Linked DNA regions of Lepisosteus oculatus. The protein of the gene in region 1 binds, or shares a complex with, the protein of each later gene. Links are inferred from orthologs where the notes say so. Each region holds a gene or a part of one and is shown on either strand. Other genes may lie near its edges.

Region 1 (6,832 bases):
TGCTCGCTTTCATGACAAAAATTCACTAAAGGCAATCCTGCTTAATCTATACAACTATATCACCGTTCACAGCTGGCAGCCCACTGGAGCTCAGCAGGTGTGGGCCTGGTCAGTACCTGGATGGGAGACCTTCTGGGAAAGCTGAGGTTGCTGCTGGGAGAGGTGTTAGTGGGGACAGTTGGGGGCGCTCACCCTGTAGTCTGTGTGGGTCCTAATGCCCCAGTCTAGTGATGGGAACACTATACTGTAAATAGGTGTTGTCCTTCGGATGAGTAATAAAACCAAGGTCCTCACTCTCTGTGGTCATTAAAAATCCCAGGGCGTTTCTTGAAAAGAGAAGAGGTGTAACCCCGGTGTCCTGGCCAAATTTCCCCCTGGCCTTTTCCAATGATGGCCTCCTAATAATCCCCATCTCTGAACTGGCTTCATCACTCTGCTCTCCTCCCCACTGAGAGCTGGTGTGTGGTGAGCGTTCTGGCGCACTATGGCAACTGTTGCATCATTCAGGTGGGGCTGCACACTGGTGGTGGAGGGGATCCCCATTACCTGTAAAGTGCTCCGAGTGGAGTGTCCAGAAGAGCGCTGTATAAGTGTCAGGAATTATTATTATTATTATTATTATTATTATTATTAATCAATAGGGCGGGACTGGGTAGCACATACTGTAATTCCCAGCCTTGTGATATACAGTACATGTACAGCTCAGAGAAGCCCCTCCATGTTTGTTTGGGGGGGTTCCTGATTTTTGGGCGAGCGCACAAAAAATTGAATCACAATCCCATGTGCACTAGGAATAGCAACACCCCAGAACTAAATGTGGTGACAAATTTACAGAGTGTTTTACTCTCAGTGGGTTTGGCTTAAGGGCTGAGGGCCAACGTCCTGGCCGCAGGACGAGGAGGCTGGGACCCCCATGTGTACTGAGGGGTGACCAAGGGGCAGCTGCAGAGCTGGAGGAGGGGTGCAAAGGACGTGTGCAAGGGAGAGAAGGGGCTGACCCATAGTGCTTATTGTTTTAAGGTGAGGAAATGACATCAGGAATGATGACAAATTACTGACTGACGAGGCTGATTGAACTTGGCTGTTGTCATCTGACATGACTGGTCATGGGGCGGAGCGGTTGGACTGTGGCTCAGGATCTGTGCCTGTGGCTGGAAGGTTGCCGGTTCAAATCCTGCGGCCGGCAGAGGAATCCTACTCTGCTGGGCCCCTGGGCGAGGCCCTTCACCCCAACTGCTCCAGGGGCCCCGTATAAATGGCTGACCCAGCTCTCTGACGCCCAGCTCTCTCTCTGACGCCCAGAGAGAGACAGCTCTCTCCCTGTCTGTGTGTCTCATGGAGAGCAAGCTGGGGTCTGTGAAAAGACAAATTCCTAATGCAAGAAATTGTATAGGGCCGATAAAGTGATCTGATCTTACATACTTTGGCTCCAGACTCCATGAAGTGGCTTTGCCCAGGCAGGACTGGAGCTGACAAACCCGGGGTCAGTGGGTCTTTATTCCCACCCCTCCTCTAGGTGCTGTGCTCCCTGTGTGAGCTCTGCTCTCCTAACGGTGGGGCTGAAGGAGTTAACCATAAATCATCCCGGCTTCCCACCCACCTCCCAGCTGGGAGGAAGTTGGGATTCCTGGGAACAGCCACAATTACTGACCTTTCACATGTGAGTGTTCTCTGCATTTCATCCACGTAATCGTTCTCCAGCCCTCCGCTGGCAGAAGCAACAGAGAAAGACGAACGACGTTCCTACTCATTTTTTACGGCCGGTGTGCGCAAACATTTCAAGCTGTGCAAATTTTTTCACCAGTGACAAAACCTTGTGCGCACTAAACTGAGCTTATGTAAAACTGTAAACCTGAAATTATTTTTTGTTAATATAGTCATCCAAATATAAGCATAGAGATCCAAAAGATTGGGACGGCGATTCCACGAGCCCGGTCATAGAGACCGGGTGTCGAGCGAGCATGAGCAGTGGGTTCGAGACTACGAGAGCAGAGATACCGATTATCGAGTAGTAATAATAATAATAACGCACACAGCCAAGTTGAGCCTCTCGCAGCCAGTCTCATGTGGTCAATTTCGCATTTTTCAATTGACGACCGTGTTTGTTTTATTATTATCATTTTTGTTTGGGGGGGGGGGGGTTAATTTTTTGTGCGCAGTTCAATTTCCTATGTGCGCTGATTTCATAACCTGTGTACGCGCGCACACGCTCGCGGTTTAGTGGGGAACATCCACACGAAGTGCAGTGAAAACTGATAAAAACAAACAAACAGGAGGCTTTTCTGTACTCATACGTTTGAGGAACAAGTGGATCAGACACGGTCCGAACCGAAACCCTGTCTTCTCTCATGAGATGGCAGAAGGAGCAGATCCTTGGATCAATCAACAAGCTCCTGTAGACTGGCCACCCCTTCCTCTCATCTGCAGTGTTTCTTATGCTCCTAGGAGCAACAGACCATCACAAGAGAAGGACCCTCCCTGGGGACAGGGGTCCTTATCGCTGTGCCGGAGGCCCGCACGTCTGGTTTGAGTTCCCGGCCGGCTCTGAGTCGCCCGGCTGAACCCTTCACTGGCCCAGTTACAGGATGCATCTGAACCGTCCGACTGTCTTCGGCGCTTCATCCGCCTTGAAACTTGCCTTTTATCGTCTATGGTGTTTCGCAGGTCAAAATACGAAACCCCGGGGTTTCTAGGACAACAACAACAACAACAACAACAACAACAACAACAACAACAACTAACAACCTGCAATCAAGCAAGTTGTCGCTTCAATCAAGGCTCCAGTTAGGTCATTTAAAGGTCAGCAGAGCGGGCGCGCGAGCCGCCTGGGCCAGCCTGGAGCACCGCACGAAAATAAACTTCATCTTCTTAATAATCACGATATTCAAAAGCGATAAAACAGGCTTGGAGAAGCGGGGCTTTTTCTGTTGAATTGATCCGTCATTTCGGTTCCGGATCCCATCTGGTATTCTAACGTGCCTTTAATGTAACGTGATATTTAGTGTTGTTATTGCTATACTTCTTATTGTTCGCATTATTACTTTATTATTAATTACATTTTACATTAGCTACTGATACGAGAGCAATGCCATCGTATACAGGACAGTGTAAGCAAAAGCAGGTATAACAGATCGCAGTAGAAGCGCGTGCCGTTGTGCCAGTACAAAAAAGAACTGGACAACGGAAAAATACTATATCCGTGACGTGGGCCGTGATATACACACGAACTAGAGGACAACGTGGACACCCGGTAACAGTGATGGGTCCCGTCTTTCCAAATCAACAAGTCAGTTACATGGTGTCTCCACACTGAGAGGCAGGCTTTTCAATCCAGGGGCTAATTCAGGAATACTGGGCAGCGTGGAAATACGGGTCATTAAAAACCGGGGCAGATGATGAAGATAATGAGCACTATCACTGCGGACGCTTAACGGGAACTGCGGCGTTTCCCATTGAAAGTGAATTACAAGTCCGAAGAAGTCGTTCTGCATATCCCGTCAATAGACCTGGGACCCGGACCCCCCTCCCCACCAAATCTAGCCCCCCAGTTCCAGTTCCAATTCCTGAGACGTGGCAACACTCATCTTCCGACTCCCTTCCTCGCACGGGGGAGGTAACTCGGACACCCTCCTCCGCTATTCAAGAACTTTCCATTCAGGCAGCCGAAACATATTTTATAAAAGGAAAGTTTGTCCTACCCCCCCTTGTCGCCCCGCCCCCCCTCCTCCGGTCCTCTCTTACGACTGGGTGGCGGGCACATCAATCACCGGCCGGGCGCAGCTCATTGGCTGGCTCGTCCGAGGGGGCCGGAGCGGGTCTCGTGTGTCGGGATTTAGGTGCATTTTTTAGGCTCGGGCCAGTTTTCGCGAGACTTTGCGGGCGTCGGGTTAAAGGGAGAGTGAGTGGGGGACGTGTGCTGGAGCCAGAGAGAACAGGGTTAGGGAAGACGAGACAAAATTAGGGAAGGCAAGGGACTGACAGCGCAATGGAGCTGACTTCTGCTTTCCTCATCTGTGCGATCTGCCTCGGGATCTCGGACCATGTCGCGTCGGCGGACACGCAGGCGATCCCTCCAGGTAGCAGCGTGATCTCGGAATGAACAGTTTAGCGCACCGTCACAAGAGTACGCTATAAATTGCACCCGCATACTGGCATCTCAGTCCGCTCCGCTAATGCCGTGTAAACTTTAAAACACAAGGCCACTACAGCTGTGTTATTTCACGCCTTGTATGACTGCACTGTCTGCGTTTTACAGTAAGCTAGCTAGAAAAGGTGATTCTCTGGTAAAGAGATGACTCTTTTTGTGAAATGTACGTATTGCTAAGGCTGTTAACTTCGGTTGTATTTCACCATGGTACGCTTTTCGCCCAGAGTTCTCAATATCTGAGAAAATAAGGTCGGATCTCGGGCTGTCTGGATTCTTGGTCCCGAGAAGCTCAGTGCCATTAACAAACGGCTAATTCCTCCAATAAGACTGATTGATTAATTGATTGATCCGACCGCACAGCGCTATCTTCTTCCTATCCAATCACTGGAAAGTAATTGGTCTCTGAAAAGAAAAACAAACCGCTTTATACAAGCAGTGAACTGTTTGGGGAAACTGGGCGGAGGGGAGCACTAAAACCTATGATCCCAAGTTCCTACGCAGCAGTGAAGACGGACATCGAATCGATCGGCTGTTTTCCCAGACGGGTTGGAGAAATTTTGAAAACGTCTTAACGGCGGATTCGACACATCAACGCAGGGGCGCAGGCAAATGTCGTGAGCGGTTTCATTAACAGGTCGGCTCGCCGGAGGGAGTGAAAAGCACTGCGGTGTCAGCCTAAGGGTGCAGTACAAAGCGGCGATTGATTCACTGGTGCGACCCCACGGCTCCCCCACCCACCCGCGGGCTCGCAGCGCGGGGACACAGTCACGTATGAGAGAGATGACACTTTTTTAAGAATTTTTTTTTAAATCCTTTGACCGAGACCAAGCAGACAACGCACACAGCCGCAGTGGTTTAGAACCAAAAATCAGAATCGGGATTTCTAAGATCTCTCCCTTACAAAGGCGCTCTCCCCAGCCCCCAGCTGGGTTCATCTCCGGGTTTTCCCATGAGAACTGAGCGATATGGACCGTGGTTCCCGCTTTCTGACCGTTACTGTGGGGAGGAAAAATTTAAAAAGCAGAAATAAGGGCTCTCTCCCTGGGGCTGCTGGCCTCTTTCATCTGTAAATGAAAAAGAATTTGACCCATTGTGAGGACCGATAAAGTGCTTTTTACCAAAATAATACCCACTGAAAGGTAGATGGAGTTGGAGACAGTGTAGCAAGTTTTATACTCCAATATACAGCCTTAACCTGGCTGACACCCCACATTCTTAAAGTTTTTTCCTATCGGAATAAAGTTGATTTCACCCAGAACTTCTCACGATAAGTACACATTCTAACAAAATATTCAACTTTCGTCACTCTGAAACCTTCTCAACCGGGGGCCTGTCCTTGCTCGATCGGTGCGATGGTGGGGCCTGGATTTGCACAATGAAAATGAGTCCGAGCCTGACCGCCGGGTTTTGTCCGTGCCGTTTCCTTGGCCCGGTTCTGGAGCCGCGGAGCCGGAGCTCGGGGGATATTTGTGGTGAATCTTCGTGCAAACTGTGGGGAACAGCACGTGAGGATGTCAGAATTGCGTACGCTGACCGGTTTGGGTAAATCCGTGTGGCTCCTACCTGAGATCTCGGCACCTGGACTCTGGTACAGTGGCGAGTTTGGGTTGGTCTTGCTCAGTCTTGCCTGCCATCCCCCCATGCCCACGGGGGTGGGGCTGGGAGTGTTGACTCGCAGGGAGGGGGACGTCCTTCCAGAGAGCTGGAGAAGGAGATTGAGTATTCAGTCAGCCTGTGGTGTTCTGGTTCAATCACCTCATTGTACATGTGCCTTTTGGATGCCGTGTATTATGTGATTTGTATACTATAACAGTATGTACATTAGAATGCAGTGTATAAGTGCATCGTACTACATGCTTAACATCGGCTGCACTGTGATCTGTGTCCTCTAGAGAACCTGCTGGTGATCACAGCGGCCACCCAGGAGACGGACGGGTTCAAGCGCTTCATGCGGACGAGCAGGCAGTTTAACTACACCGTCAAGGTGAGGCCCTGCGCTGCCCAGCCCGTCCCTTGAAGACGGGGGTAGAGGGGTGGAGGGCAGTTTGTTCCCCAGGCTGGGTCAAGGGGCGATGGACTGAACGGGTGTCGGCGCCCTAAGCCGACGCAGACGGGAGGGAAAGCCAGTGTTGCGTTCAGACGGGGTGGTCTGCCTCTCTAGGGATGGGGTCTGGGACTGTGATCGGTTCTAGCTCGTGTCTCGCCGTCCTGCTCTTGGTGGTTAACCTTCCCCCTCTGCTCTGTCTCACCCGTAGGTGCTGGGGCTGGGGGAGGAGTGGCGGGGGGGAGACGTGTTGCGGACGGTCGGGGGGGGACAGAAGGTACGCTGGCTGAAGAAGGAGATCCAGAAATACGCCGACAGACCGGAGCTGGTCGTCATGTTTGTGGACAGGTCAGGCCATGCCGAATGTGTCTCTCTCCGTCTCTCTTTCTCCTGGAATGTCCAGTTTCTTCCCCTCCCTGTCCACATGCTCGTTCTCCTCTTTCTCTGTTCCCGTCTGCGGCTCTGGTAACCGAACCTGACACCGGTCCTACCTGCCCAGACAACAGCTGCCCCACTTCGGGTGAAAAGGCGTTTTGTCAGTGTAATGAGGCGCCGAGGTGTGGCCGAGAGCTCACGAGCAGGTCCCAGGCAGCGCTGAGGTGGGAAACGCCACGTCAAAGACAAAGGGGAAAAGAAAGAGA
Region 2 (7,556 bases), on another chromosome or scaffold:
GAAAGAGACTCAAGGAGACAGCAGCTGAAGCAAGACGGCAAAGGTACAAGTAGAGAAGAATTCCAGGGGGGAAATTAAACAAAAGATTAAAATGACTTTTCCCAGCCCAAATAAACCTCTAGTTCTTCCTTAGAGCAAGGAAGGCTGGGTGCATTTGATTCTGGGATCTAAAGGACAATTTCTTTGGTTAATCTAATGCCCAGTGAAGGGGGGAAAAATCAGGTTTGTCCATTCATAATATCTGGGCTTGGCGACAGTTCTGCGGCGTGAGATAACTACCACTGGGTCTTTTATTCCACTGTAATTACACGCTGGTTGCTGAAGGCAAAGCACCACAGTTCTGCCAAGCAAAAAGTAAACACGGTCTACATGGCATTCCAACAGTCCAGTCCGAACCACAAACACAGGGACTGAGTGAGGAAACCTTTAGTTTATAAGACCTGAACTTTCACACCTTGTCTCACCTGTGTTCCACCCTATTCACCACATCATCGCAGATACTGCAAAACACTTGAATTGTCGAAAACAGCCAGTTCATTTTAGAAGGAAGTTAGCTACAGCAGGGTTTCACAATGCTGGTTCTGGAGACCCACAGACTGCTACACTGCGTTCCACTAAGCACAAATAACTAACCAAACAAAAACCTAACAATAGGTTCAATTCAAACTCGAATCGTTTTCAGGTCCTAAGCAGGCAGGAGGTTGCCTTTTAACTACTGCGTTGCGCAGATCAAAACAAAACTTTTGAGTAGAAAACTAAACTTGGAAAAGTTCTAATCAAGCAGTTGGATTGTTGGATTCATTAAAGAACTCACCTGCGGTGAATCCAGCAGGTTTGTGGGTCACCGGGACCAGGATTGGATACCCCTGTCCTATATTCCTAAACTTTGATTATTTCGTACATTCATAGACATATAACTATTGTATCTATATTACGGAAAGTGATAAGCAATTAGGTGATAAGCTTATTGCCTTCAATACGAACTAATTAGCATCCTCATCAACATTTCAAACATGCCAAACGACACGAAATCGACCGAGTGTATTTTACACAGTCCGTCTCCTCCGCTTAACACGTTTCAACTACTCACGGATACAAACACGCCAATACTTTATTCTACCGCTGTCACCAAAGTATTAGTCATACCAGGTGCGTTAAACTCGAGCAAAAGTTAAAATTTCACATTTTGGAGCATTTCCAATTTTGGAGCATTTTTTTTAGGGTTTGCGTTAAACTCGAGCAAAAGTTAAAATGTAAACTTCTGGAGCATTTCCAAAGAGGTCCCGCGATTTACACGTAGGCGACGTCGCGGATTCGCCTGAATGGTAATGAAATCCTCCTGCGTCTGAGGCTTTCGAAACGTTTGCCCAGCGCACTGTAACTGAAACGAGGGATTGTTTCCATTATGTAGTTCATATAAACCTGCAATGGGTTTTACTCTGCTTCTGCCGCAAACCAGAAAACCGTTTTAGAAAAATTAAGAGGTGGATCGCCTCCAAGTCACACCGACGGACGCTCGGCTGAGACCTTATTAAAATGAATGGTTAACGCCTGGAGTCATTTATATTGGAGGGCTGCTGCTGGAAACTTTTAAGGTTTTATTTGAATACCGCTCGCCAGGGTGACGTCCTGGTACATCAGCCTTTCTACGTTCCTGTTTTAAGTACAGTAAAAGTGTGCCTCTCATATGATCGTTGTACGTCGACATTCCTCTTTTCAAACAGCCTGCATGTGTCGTTTTTGTCCTCCCCAAAATATTTTACTACTATAAGGAATATCGGTCCTAAGAAGTTCTCTTAAATTCCCTCTCGTTGACACGATCGTATAGACTTATCAACGGAAAAGTCTGCAAATCTGCACTGTTCACCTCATCACGAAAGGACGGAGTGAAAACGGTGCCTTTTTTCCAGGTTCTGAACATGTATCGGCCTGGTTTTTTAATAACTTAAAAAGGAGCTAAAAGCAGCTGCTCCGATGCGCAAGAGCACGGATGCGCTGTTCCCCTCAAGACAGCTTGTGAGATGATTCACACGTAGATACACAGCCCCCGAGGGAAAAGCAAAGCGATCCGCTAAAATCCACTGCACTTAAACTCTATTACCTTCAATTACTAAATCATACATCACATTTCGATGCTCAACTACCACACTTGCTCAAGTTACTACAGATACAGCGAGGAACTGAGAATTATATGGTAAACTACAGTAATCTGTTATTGCATGTGGACTACTAAACTTTTTTTAGTTACTTCACTCACGCGTTAACAGATATGCAGGCACCTAACTTTTTATCTGGACTGTGCTGTTTCACAAAAACCACTTTCTATAACGTAACTCCCAGACACTACAAATGCTGCCCGCGATGCATTAACGAGTTTCTGATAACTGCGAGATAACTTTAGAAAAAGATCTTAGGAAAAGTTCGAGTCACCCAATTTCGTGTTTATTAAAAAGTCATGCATGTGGCATAATTTCCCTCGCTGATACTATAATACTCAGCTAGGACAGTGGATCTCACCAGCCTGCAGTGATGTGTCAACAGCATTCCAACATTTGAGCAAAAGTTTTCATCTTACAACTCCAAGAAACCCGCATCTCCTTGCATTTTCACTCTGCTTTACTACATAAAACAAAACCTTTTTAAAACGCTCTCCGGTTTCGGGCTTACCACAGGGCAATCCGGTCTTTGGGAAAGTTGAGGCGCTCTATAGTCGCCAGGAAGTGCGGCAGGGAGTGAGCCGAGTTGCGGCAGATGAGAGCGAGGAGCACCCTGGGTGCGAGCAGCGGGGACTCGGGGCTCCAGCGCTCTTCGGGGAAATATCCTCGGGCCGGCCCAGGGATGAGAAGCGAGAGCAGGGCAGGCAGCAGAAAGGGGAGCCGGAACATTGCAGACGAGGGTTTTGGGGAGGAAATGCCAGCAGGGAGACGCACAGCAAACGGAGAGTAAGGTTGACGAAAACGTTATCCCCGATTTACTGACCACCGACAAAAATACAACGCCGCAGAGCGTTTTTTTGGCGTTAAGGGGGAAGACGTTATTAAAGGGGAAAAAAACTTCCTTAAAGGGGAAGTTCGGCTATTTTACGTTTTGTGTGTGCAGATAAAAAGAAGTTTCCTTTAAAGGTATTTTATCCACCTCAAGTGGAAACGGTATGTACTAAGACGGAGAAGAGAGAAGAGGTATGGTTTAGTTTGTGGAGTAAAACACTGTCAGTCATTTTTAAGTATTATTTTCCAATACAAATTCATTAACACAGCTCCTCCTTACATACATCAGCCTTGAGCGAAAGACACGACACCATCATTCCATATAGGACCCATAGGAACCAACGAACTCCAGGATAGGTTTTTTGATGCCAGACGTCTGTCTTACTAACTCAAATCTTTAAAGGATTTTGTTGCATAGACAGATCGGAAGTACCGACCGGGAGCCAAATGATATCCAGAGTAAATAAAACGTTCGTTTTAAAGTAGAACCTAAATACCAGAATTAACTTCACAAGGTGCTTCTCCTTTAGTGTTCATGTTACATTATCAAAACATACTCAGGCGCTGAATCTAGGATCAACTTTATTTTTTAATACAAGAAGCGGCATTTCAAAATCTCTTTAATTTTATCCCTCCCTTTAAGAGAATCCAGGTGCAGATCGCGGCGTTAAATTGGAATGTGCCAGAACGTTCTGTGGGCGTGGCGAAGGCAGCTGATTGGACACTTAAGGGCTGAAGAAGGTCTGGGTGGGATGGGCCACTGTAGGCGCAGTCGTATTAGTCCCAGTAGAATAATAAACAGGCACAGCATTGGACTGTTAGTGAGTGTGTATTCGTAGGTATTTATGAACAAATCACAGGGCTTGATTGTTTTTGTTAAAAAAACCTTTCCTATTAAACGTTCTTTTGATTAACTAATCCCTTCTTAGTTTTCCGTTCAACTTAGAATATTAAAAACCTCTCCAAAAGCTGTTAAAATCTTAATTACAAAATTACAGATCTATAAAAGAGGAATTCTGAAAACAGGGACATAGCTTCGGTTTAATTTGTTTACACATAAATCCGAAAACTGAGCTGGACTCTCCCTGAAGTTATTTTAAGAGAATTGCTTGTTTTTACACTGGACGAAAATACTTTGCGAGGTAAGAAAGTTGTCAGCATTCACTGAGCCAATATATACAAGGTACATCCTCAGGCAGGGGTCATGCTAATATTGTATTATTTTTATTGTAGACCTGGAACAAGTTAAATGTGAACACTTTTTGTGGGTGATTTGTTAAAGTTGTAATTCAGAGATGCATGTGGAACACAAATCAGAATACCCATCAGCCCTCAGGGTCCCGAGCTCCCTTTATTGATCAATTTCTCACTTGTTGTCCTCACCTTTAATAACAGGGGATTAAGGGTGACCTGTAAGACTGATGGGTTGGGGCTCCTCAGGACCATAATCTTTGGGGATCTTTGACCTTGATAACCAATAATAAAAGATTCTTACAAAAAATAATGAGGGTCATTCAAAAAATGAAATACTGTAAATAGGAGTTTCTATCGAACCACTGCTCACTCAATACAAAATAAAGCAGATGTTTTCAAAAAATAATTCCTTACACTTAAATGGCACTTTTCTGGACTTTCCACTCAAAGCGCTTTACAGGTAATGGGGACTCCCCTCCACCTCCACCAATATGTAGCCTCACCTGAATGATGTGACAGCAGCCATATTGTGCCAGTACACTCACCACACGTCAGCTATCAGTGGGGAAGAGAACAGAGTAATGAAGACAATGTATAGATGGGGATTATAAGGAGGCCATGATTGGTAAAGGCCAGGAAGACATTTTGGCCAGGACACCAGGGAAACAACCCTATTCTTTTCGAGAAATGCCCTGGGATTTTAATGAGTCGGACAGCGAGTCAGGACCTCGGTTTTACATCTCATCCAAAGGACAGCGCTGGGGCTTTAAGACCCACACAGACTGCCCCTTCTGGTCTCACTTACACCTTTCCCAGCAGCAACAGCAGTTTTCCCAGAAGGTCTCCCATTCAGGTATTGGCATTGACTAAACTCACACCTGCTAAGTTTCAGTGTGTTGCTAGTTGTGAGTTGCGGGGTGATATTTTTAAAATCCTTAAATTAGAAGGACAACGAAGTTCCAATGAAATCATTCCCCCAAGGTGTGCCTGTCAAGATTTATTCTAATGGCAGTTTTCTTAAATTTAAAAATATATAATTTCCAAAGCCAAGTCCGTTTTATGGAGAGTTTCCATTAACAGTTTCTGAGCTGCTGTTTAAATCATTTCACTAGGTCAGAGAAAGCTTGCTGCTCCAGTTCCGAGTAAGGACTGGTTTTCGTTCTCATTAGTTGACTCCTTATGTAGGTGAAGAGGAGAGATATGGCTTTAGCCTAATTGTTTTGCAACCCATGTGATTGTAGATTAACAAAGCTTGAGAAGGGTGTGTAAGGGAATGTTTTTCCTGGGTGAAAGTTAGAAAAATTGCACATTATGGTCAAAAATAAAACAGTCAAAAATATTCATCCATCTATCCATTTTCTAACCTCTTCATAAAATTCAGGGTTATGGGGGACCCGGCCAGCAATGAGCACAAGGCAGGATACACCTTGGATGGGGCGCCAGTCCATCGCAGACAGTAGTACATTTGCTAATACTAATTTAAAAATTAATGTTGGTCCACTCCAAAGTGTAATCAATTTATAAATGCACCATTGTATTTAAAAAAAAAAAACTAGGATCCTGAACATTTTATACCAATGCAGTTGAATATCACAGCTCCTGGAAATACTTCAGTGAGTGGATTTTTATGACTTGAAAGTGAAGACAGGGTTCTACTAGACTTCTGTTTATAAAAACTACAGGCTGAGATGACACTTTTGTGTGTCAGCTGCTGTTTCATTACTGTAAAGTTACCTGTAAATGGCTCAGTGAGAATTTTTCACAAATGCAATATTGGCACATTCCAGTAAGCATGTAAACTGTTTTACTGTCAGCTCCTCGACCAAACTGAACAGTAGATCATTCTTCTATCGATGGAGCACATTGGACACTACATGGTGAGAAACAGTACCTGAGAATGCAGAATAAGGAGTTGCTCTCATTCCACTTCACATATGGTCTATATATACTGTATACACACAGCTGGGAAATGTCTGCATTGTAAAGACTACATCCCGCCACCCACATCAGACGATAAGCAGCTGTTCAGATGGCCTAGAATTTACAGTCAGAAATAAAAAAAAATTCTGCAAAGAGGAGCAAAAAAAGAGAAACAAAACTGCAATCCAAATACAAATCTGGAACTGCTGTAACATAATGCCGGCATACTATTTAATTTGCCAGAGAGTGATTCGGATTTTGTCTTCCCACATTCCGTGGTTTTGGACTGCTGCTGTTCTCTGTGATGTAATTATGTCCAGAGCAGTGAATGAAAACATTGGTTAGGAATGAAGCAGAATTCTGTAGAAATTCCAGAGAAACTCGAGCCAGGCTCTGGCAAATACAGTATCATATTAATAGTAAAAAGTTAAGACACATTTGGCATGACTGTCTGAAAAATCAGTTTCTTCTTCAAATTTTCATAGTGTTTTCACTAGATGCCATGTACTAGTTCTGAAACTTCTGGAAGGAAGAGATTGGTGATTTCTAAACCCCTATACCTTTAACAGCTGTTGTTGATATCATCATAAAGATGGTGTGCACTGCCCCACTTTGGCATAATGCTGTATTGCAACTCGCTTGCAGATTGATTATTATGATGGCGTTTTGGTGCTATAAAATGACTGCGAGCCCACCAGCTGTATCTCCAGCATGTTCTGCCATTTTAAAATAACTTACATCTCTTAGGAAGGTATAGGTAGAAATAACGTATTTATTTCAGTCTCTAGTTAGAGATACAGTATGGTTCTATAACCCAAAGTAGAACAGAAGATTAACAATGGAAGTGAACAGCCTGGAGCTTAACTTGACAGTTTGAACAACATCTGCATTTCAGCATTAAACACTGGTTTGACATTTGACTGACTTCACACTCTCAAAGAGACCCGTTATACTGTCAACCGCTAAGCAAAATATTTCAAAAAGTTCAAAAACAGAAAAACAATAAATACATTAAAAATACATTAAAACTGGGACTAAAAGCTTTTTAAGGTACAACAATGTAAAATTCTTTTACAGACATCTTTCTGTTGAAAAGGTGGATCTTTCATTCATAACTCTTGGCTAATGCAACATTTTCAAAACTGTTTTTTTACCTACTGTACATTAGTCATACCTCCCTAAAAGCATGTCTATTTGTATGACTTGTTGATTTCTTGTATAAACCCTTCATTTCATTTTAACTAAATATGGCAAGAGTTTCATTACCATCCCACAACTAATTTAAACAAATAACCCTTCAGCCTGAACAGCAGTGATCTCCCGAAACTTTTGTACATTTCAATTCGAAATGTTTTAGGACATGCAGTTTATTACACTAGGAAATAATAATTTAAATCAGCTCTCAAAAAACAAAGAAACAATTGAAACAAACAACCCAAACTATAAATGTAAATA

The links. Proteins that work in one complex are often made in the same cells at the same time.
Region 2: the proteins of plod3 (region 1) and procollagen galactosyltransferase 1 are in contact, whole or in part, in a cryo-EM structure (PDB 8ZGE), measured with the Homo sapiens proteins. The link is inferred for Lepisosteus oculatus from reciprocal best matches to the Homo sapiens genes PLOD3 and COLGALT1. Residues at the interface, in NP_001075.1 of Homo sapiens: Leu226, Val229, Val230, Leu231, Lys232, Phe233, Asp234, Arg235, Arg241, Gln261, Tyr264, Leu265, Pro275, Gly430, Ala431, Leu432, Arg440, Glu442, Glu446, Arg452; in NP_078932.2 of Homo sapiens: Ala36, Tyr37, Phe38, Pro39, Glu40, Glu41, Arg42, Trp43.

What each region holds. Positions count from the first base shown.
Region 1 is NC_090698.1:6,905,615-6,912,446, forward strand, and holds the start of plod3 (multifunctional procollagen lysine hydroxylase and glycosyltransferase LH3), read left to right. Parts: upstream 1-3,813; 5' UTR 3,814-3,985; coding exon 3,986-4,076; intron 4,077-5,461; exon of another isoform or gene 5,462-5,636; intron 5,637-5,710; exon of another isoform or gene 5,711-5,877; intron 5,878-6,039; coding exon 6,040-6,131; intron 6,132-6,402; coding exon 6,403-6,539; intron 6,540-6,832. UniProt on the Homo sapiens protein: Multifunctional enzyme that catalyzes a series of essential post-translational modifications on Lys residues in procollagen. Plays a redundant role in catalyzing the formation of hydroxylysine residues in -Xaa-Lys-Gly- sequences in collagens.
Region 2 is NC_090706.1:18,192,214-18,199,769, forward strand, and holds the start of procollagen galactosyltransferase 1, read right to left. Parts: upstream 3,008-7,556; 5' UTR 2,886-3,007; coding exon 2,668-2,885; intron 1-2,667. UniProt on the Homo sapiens protein: Beta-galactosyltransferase that transfers beta-galactose to hydroxylysine residues of type I collagen. By acting on collagen glycosylation, facilitates the formation of collagen triple helix. Also involved in the biosynthesis of collagen type IV.